Linked DNA regions of Lepisosteus oculatus. The protein of the gene in region 2 purifies or fractionates together with the protein of the main gene of each other region. This does not show direct contact. Links are inferred from orthologs where the notes say so. Each region holds a gene or a part of one and is shown on either strand. Other genes may lie near its edges.

Region 1 (3,755 bases), on a different chromosome or scaffold from region 2:
AAGAATGCTCTAACTGGTACTGTCTAATAATTTACTAGAGGAATCAACCATTGACATGAAAGCCACAGTCCAGCTGCTTCTAGAGATGGGGCCTGCTCCAGAGACAGAGGAAATTACCCAATTTCTTGTTTCTATTTACTTATTTTAAACTGTGCTATACCCCTTGGTATAAATATCAGGATACCCCCCAAAAACCATCTAGGAAAAGACCTTAGCACATATTCAACATTTTCTACCCAGTCTTATTCCATTCTTCTGGTCAAATCCTATTCACAAGACTGTGATGGAGGTGGTATCGCTCGAGTGTTTCCTTGGGTTTTCCTTGGTAGGATTTAGGAGGTGTGGAGGGAATGGGGAGAGCTCCTCTCATCCTTTTCAGGCCAATCAGACCTTGGCACCCAATGATAGCATGAGGGTTCTAATATTTTGTCCAGTGAGGGTATATTCCTTTGTGCATTATTGAAAGCTTTTTAGTTAATGTCAAAGTTCTTCAGTTACTTTACAATTAGATCTATGGATTAATACTATTAGTAACAAACAAGATATATAAAAAGACTGTAAGCATATCTGTTAACAATCCAAAGCACATTGGAGACTGACCGCATTTTCGTTTTTCATTGTATGTTACCTACAGTATATGGTCACCGAGGCTTTGTAGATTACGAAAAGGATTCATTTTTTTGTAGTTCCTCACGATGTTTGTACCATGTCTTAGAAAGTAAAAAAATATATATACTAATTCAATTGTATATATGTAATGATTGTTGTAAGTCTTTAGGAAGTTCAGTGATGAAAAATAGAAATTGAAATCAGTAATTACATTGCGAGTAATGTGAACTCGGCATTGTTCGGCATTAGGACCCTGTGATAGGTGTGACCAGGATTTCCCTTTAGGGCTCCGGGAGGGTTATGTGACGCATGCGCCTACTTTACTATGGCAAGCTCCAGATAGCTGGATAAAATGTAACAAAACAGGCAACAACATTGTACCTGCTTAAAGGAGCCGCAATCGTACCGAAACCTCTCTTTCAACTCCACCAGTGAGTAAAATCAACACTTTCTTTTGGGGCTTTTGATAAGAAAAGACGAAAAGTTAATGCAAAAATTAAAAAAGAGAAAAACTGGAGATAAAACAAGCGTGGACTCTGGACGGTCGTGAAACTAAAGCAAGTCAGAGACGGATAAAGATCGACTTGTGGAGGATCAAGCAGTAAAGATGTTACCATAGAAAATGAGAAAACATGAGAAACAAACCAGGAGAGAAGAAAGAACTGAAGCTCCACTAAAGTGGACTTTTGTATCGCAATGGCTTGATTTTTTTTCTAAACATTAAGAGCTTTAATTATGATTCCTGCTTGCTAAAACAAAACAAAAAGAAAAGTTTGCAGCTTGTCCTTGGGATATTGAATTCTATGAAACAGCTGATTTTGGCTGTCCCTGTTTCTGTTGGTGGGGCCACCTGTTTTCTGTTGGTTTGTATTCACCATGTCCAAAGTGCTACAAAAGAAAAACCATTGGACAGCAAAAGTTAATGAGTGCGCGATTATCAAAGACGCTCACGGAGAACTGAATGTGGAGTTGCTCGGGGGAGCAGAGAATGGAGAGTTTCCGTACATCGGGGAAGTTAAGGAAGATGTCGCGGTTTTCAGAGAAGGAAAATTAACCGAGGGGGAATTGATCCTGGAAGTAGAGGGGCTCGCAGTGTCTGGATTGCCCCTCTACGATGTACAGACAGTGATAAAGAACTGCAAGGGTCCCGTCAGGTTGAGAACTGTAAAACAAGGTAGGTGATGCAAGCAGCCGACATCCGACATGATGATGTCCCTAAATCCCTCTGCGCTCATCCAGTAGCATTTTTTCCTGTTTTGGTAGGGAAGGACAAAGATAAGTAGTTTACCCAGTGAGTGAGGGTTTGTAAACAAATTGCTACAATATTTAACTTTGTTTTATTTTAGATACCAGTGCTGGCACGATAGATGACCTGTCTTATGGTTTAGACTTCCATATTTCTGTTACACAGTATACAGTATAACAAAAGTACAAAATTATCCCCATCCCATTAGTGTTAACTTATTTGTTTTTACTACAATGAAAACAACGATCTTAATAACAATGCTGTGAAATTGTAAAAAAATGCTGTACCTAACGACAAAACACCAGGTGCTTTGTTTCCTTGAAAGTGAGGCTTACAGTACAGGAACAGGGGTAACTGTAGATGGCCAGTTGCTCTGAAGTGTTTGTCACATATTTTGTCCTGGGGTTGTGGACACCTTAATATGGCTGATTAGCCCTGCACAGACACATATGGGCTATAACACATCATTTTCTAACCTGTTTGGAAAGAGCAATAGGCTTGACTGTGGAGAACAGGGTCTGTAATACAGTATATTTCTTTTACACCAATGCTCTGTTGCTCTGAACCTATGAAAAGCTTTTTAATGAACATAGTGAAATAGGAAGTTCAACAAATTGTCTTCTTTTGATGTATAACAACACATTATTGCTAGAAAACATTAACTGTCTGGATCCTAAAATGCAACTTCCAGTCCATTTAAGAACATTTAAATTGACAGGGTTCCTCTTGCCTTTGTTGGGTCACTTACAACCTTACTTACTTCAAGTTGTAGCAATGGCTTCATGTCAGGATGGTGTCTTAGAGTGTAGAAGCCATTCAGCTTTTGTCTGGTTTACATCAGGTGTAACTTCTTTTTTAGAATTTCTAATGTCTGTTTTGGACGCTTGCAGATAACAACACAGTGCTTTGATGAGAGTCATCAGGATCAGTGTGACAGATTTTCCATTTATCCGACCTGTAATAGCTGGCACACAGAGACTGAAGTAACCCTTACCAGTTCTACCAGCATTGCTCCTCCTTCTGTGTGTACCAGTGATACACAGTGTGTTGGGTGCATACAGTACATGCACAGAGGAACATTGATTGTAATGCATCTTTATTTATAGCTTCCATCACATGTTTCTAGTTTATTTCCTTCCAGGCATAAAATTGTGGTGGTTTTGTTCAGATACATGAGTCACTTGAAACAATTTCATGCAACGGACTGATCAGCTTCATTGGGACATATTTTTCATTTAAGTTGTTCTGTGTTTTCATTAATGCTAAGAAGGAACATGGGGATATTTCATTACAGATGAATAATTTAGGGAAGTCATGATGTAGTTCTAATTCAAAGTGGAGTACACTGAGATAATATGTGAGAGAAGTTTGTTACATTCAAGGGCTAAGCATTTCAAAACAAAAAAGATAGACGTCAGTCTGACATATGGTATGGTATGGTTTTTTATCCCATAGAAATCAGCATTCAATAAATAAAAAAAAAACATCTTGCTTTAAGCTATGAAGTAACAGAAATAACTGTTTTTGTAAAGCAAGTATAATAGAATGCTTTCCTTTTGGCTACGATGATTTATGTGCCAATACAGATTATGCTGTAATATTTATATACTTTATATGGTGTAAAAATGCAGTTACAATTTGTGGATGTTTTGAGAAATAACCATTCACTCAAAACCTTTAATATTGTTCTTAACTTTACTTATTAATACATCTGAGTTTGGATGAAGATAGACTGAGCTTATCATTTGGCAATCTTTAATTATCAGAAATTTCAAAAACTAGGAACTCAACAACTCAAGGTAACCCAGACCTGAGTGTCCAATATGAAGTGCTGTTGCAGCTAATTCATCGCATTTCCCAAGGCAATCTAACTGACATATTGTCAAATGTTTCTTGTTAT
Region 2 (3,755 bases):
TAAAAAGGAAGTTTCCAAGATGTTATCATGACATTACCCTAATTTTTATTATCAGACTTCGTGTAAAGGATTCCAGACCACCTGAACTGCAGAAAACAGAGACCAGTGAAAACAATACAGAATCCTAAATCAGAAAACAAACATTAACACCACTATCGCTGTGTTGCATTAATGTTGTGCTGTATCTTTTCCAGCAGCCTGAATATCAAACACCTTAAATAATGGTACCAGGAACTACTTTAACAACTTACATTAGAATGAAAATTACACTACATGAAAGCCGTAGATACAAAATATCTTAATAGATTTAGCTGTGCATTTAACTACATTTCAACACTACATTCAAGATTAATTTTATTCAAAAGTGGTCTCTTACAGCTGTCTATCTTTCAAGACCAGTTTAAAGTTTAAGGTAAGTAATCTCACCAGACACTGCAATTGCCCCTAACCACAGTTAATAGGCTTACTTTGCATCAGGAGAAAGAGGATTTTCAAGAGGTTCCCAGAGGTACCACTGAGACTACTTCACACACATTGTGTGCTTTATGATGAGAAATAAATGTCAAAAACTGAGATGAGCTTGTTTATTTTGCATTAATATACATTCCTATTGTAAGAAAGGACCCCCAACTGTTTTCTTATTTCTAAGCAATATAAACTATTCGAAATATGGCCTATTTATCAGGTGGTACCTTTGATCTCAGTGAGAGGTTAGCACTGTTCGTTGTTCGTCAACACTTTCATAATACTATTGCAAGTTTTCCTTTATACAACATGGTATTTGATCCAACAAGAAATGAAGTAGGAGAACATCACGGAACCTATGAAACCCCCTGAACTATGCACACCATATTTTAAGAATTCTGGTCTCACGTGTGGAAATTCTTTGAAACACTACATGACTGGGACTTTGATTGATCGCTCTCGATGAACGATAGAACAGCTGCACACATTACCACAACTTCACTTACACTGTTTCTAAATGCACGGTCTTCATATAACGAGTGCCCACCGATTCACCGATGAATTACTGTAGCTACCATTTTTTGCAAAGGAGCCAGGCTTAGTAGGCGTTTTACAAGGGCCAAGAAAGACTATGCAGCGCCTCTCCTTGAGAAAGGCGCAGCTGACCAGGAAATCAGGACCACTACATGATTCACTTAAAAATACACCTAAACTTGATGATACGGCGATATTTTCATTTCACAATCGCAAACGTTACGTTTAAAATAATTAACTCTTAAATAATCAGTCTGCCGCAAAATGTTTGTGATCGATTCATATTGTGAAGCTACAGTATTTAACCCTTGTTTCTTACACAAACATAAACATCCTTTTTTTAAAAAAAAAAAGAGGGGACATTCTGTAAATACAGTGAAGAAAAAACATTCATGGGAAGGTTATGGATAATTTAGACTGCGAAGTTCAAACATAAGAAGCATCAGTTTTCCCCATGTTTCATCAAAGGATAATCTGAAATCCCAGTTTGATTTTGTATAGCCAAAACTGCGAAACGACAATCACACAAACGCTACTACTATGGAGCATATTTACATACGAAAATCGGATGCAAAACTTTAATTTAAGCAACCTTATCACCGCTAGAAATTCTGAAAGACTCATCCCGTGCAACCTGGTGTAAACACGACGGTTTTAATTAAAAAGCTCATGTTTTCTGACCTGTTGCGTCCGCTCGGCCGGGTTTTTCATCACCGCCTGTCGGAAACTGTTATCCACGTAGGACGCCATTCCTGCTGTAAAAAATACGAAAGTGCACGGCACAAATGCGTGTCTTCTTTTTAAAAAATCAAATAGTGAATCTCTTGTCCACTTTGTTCAAGTTTGTTTTTAAAGACTTTGAAAATGTGACAGCTGAAGCTCGATCCCCAGGCCACAGTCAGAGCCACGGGGTTTATTTCGTATTCAGTCCCTGATCCCGGAGGACTGGCTTGGGATCAGGCTAAGAATAGTACTCCCTTCTTCTGATCTGCCGCCGGAACAAATCCTTCTTGTGGATTACAATATTTCTCTAAGTTTTTCTGTGACCAGTTAAATTAAGGTGAATTCAGAAAATATAACAGTGAAACAGACGTTCCTTTATCCAGACGCCGGGAAAGGTTAGTCTCTTATCTTCTGCATTCTGATTTTGAAACAATTCCAGGTTTCCTTTTAAAAGAATGAATAAAATTTTACCACTTTACAGTTACCCATTTAGGCCATCTGTAAAGTAATAGTAAAAACTAGTATCCTTTGTTCATTACATTTGAGGAGAAGACCGCCACGGCTTGCTGCTTTGTGCCACCATGGTGACTGACGGAGGAAAGCTTATGGGCGAGTCCATTGACAACAATATCATTCATGGAAGAATTTACAAATTTAAAAAGCTCTTTGTCGCCACCTATTAAAAGAAACCGGAATGGCAGAAATGATACTGGGATAATTCAGAAAGCTTCACTGCCACCTCGTAACCAAATTAGAGTAACAAAGAAAATAATCAAAGAAGATTTCATCTGAGAGTTAGACAATGAAACCGTGATCCGATTAAACAATTATTGTTTGCCCATTACAGATTGCTGCCTTGTTAAATTATAAGCAGAGGATCAGCATTGTAAACACCAAGTGATATTAAGGCAGAACTGTTTTCGCAGTGATAATATTCTTAGTTGTAAATGCTTTACAGAAACCCATATCACTGTACAATGGCGCAATACCCAATAAGGTAAAATGGGGGTAATTACTGAGTACCTCACAATAAAAGTTCAGTGACATACTGAATAACAACTGTCCACAGGTACAGCTTTCGGTATTATTCATAACTGTAGGACCACATAAAATCTTACTTTTTTAATACACCCTTTGAGTTATAATTTATATTTATATGTTATAATATTACAAAATCAAACACATCAAAGTCTAGGTATGATTTTTGTTTCTGAAACATACAGATGAATTCACATGCCATTTACTGTATTTATTAATTATAATTTATATGTTCTTGAACTCTATTTTTGTTAATAGATACAATTTATCCCGAAGATTAAAGATAAGTACTAAACAAATACAGTTATGTACACATTATTCTCTGGAGTCGCTATTATATTAATGCTTATCTTGCTGTTTAAACCGCTCTGTTAGAAAATTAACTGGATTGTCGTATGATTGGTTTCAGTGTAGCTGCTGTATTTGACTCTGTCGAGTCAGCTAATACGCAATCATGTTAGTTTTAAAATTACTTTAGTTGCTGTACAAGACACACAAAAGCCCTTCGTTTGACCTCCTAAAAGGACGTTCAGGCATTACTTGTCGTTTAAAAATCCTGCTGCAGTAGTGTCTGCCACACAAAACAGATATTGTAGCAACCGAGGCCATAGCAACGCTCCACTCACCTCCCCGGAGTACCTGTAAACTTGGCTTCCTGTCCTTAGAGGGAAGTTGTTGGTTTAAAGCGTCCTTAAATTAAAAAAAAAGTAAGGAGACGAAGGACAGAAGTAAAATATGACCAGCAATAAATACTCAGGTGCTCAGAGGGGACATCCGGTATATAGTCAAAGAATGCTTTTTACAGGTATTTATTTTGCTGTTGTTCTTATCATTTACCAATAGAATACTGGTGGTACTATATACATAATAAGTCATATTGATCATTTTAAAGTTTTACATATCATTCATCAAACTATAATTCACGTGTGTATACATTGATTCAACGGGATGCGGTTCCATCACTGTGGTACGTGTGCTTATTTTTCACAATAACA

What was found. Proteins that work in one complex are often made in the same cells at the same time.
Region 1: the proteins of rapgef2b (region 2) and magi1b purify together in Homo sapiens (co-immunoprecipitation; 3 studies listed by BioGRID and IntAct, with this or other methods). This does not show direct contact. The link is inferred for Lepisosteus oculatus from reciprocal best matches to the Homo sapiens genes RAPGEF2 and MAGI1.

What each region holds. Positions count from the first base shown.
Region 1 is NC_090699.1:49,447,841-49,451,595, reverse strand, and holds the start of magi1b (membrane-associated guanylate kinase, WW and PDZ domain-containing protein 1b), read left to right. Parts: upstream 1-941; 5' UTR 942-1,485; coding exon 1,486-1,783; intron 1,784-3,755. UniProt on the Homo sapiens protein: Plays a role in coupling actin fibers to cell junctions in endothelial cells, via its interaction with AMOTL2 and CDH5. May regulate acid-induced ASIC3 currents by modulating its expression at the cell surface.
Region 2 is NC_090696.1:23,459,676-23,463,430, forward strand, and holds the start of rapgef2b (rap guanine nucleotide exchange factor 2), read right to left. Parts: upstream 2,332-3,755; 5' UTR 1,750-2,331; coding exon 1,681-1,749; intron 1-1,680. UniProt on the Homo sapiens protein: Functions as a guanine nucleotide exchange factor (GEF), which activates Rap and Ras family of small GTPases by exchanging bound GDP for free GTP in a cAMP-dependent manner.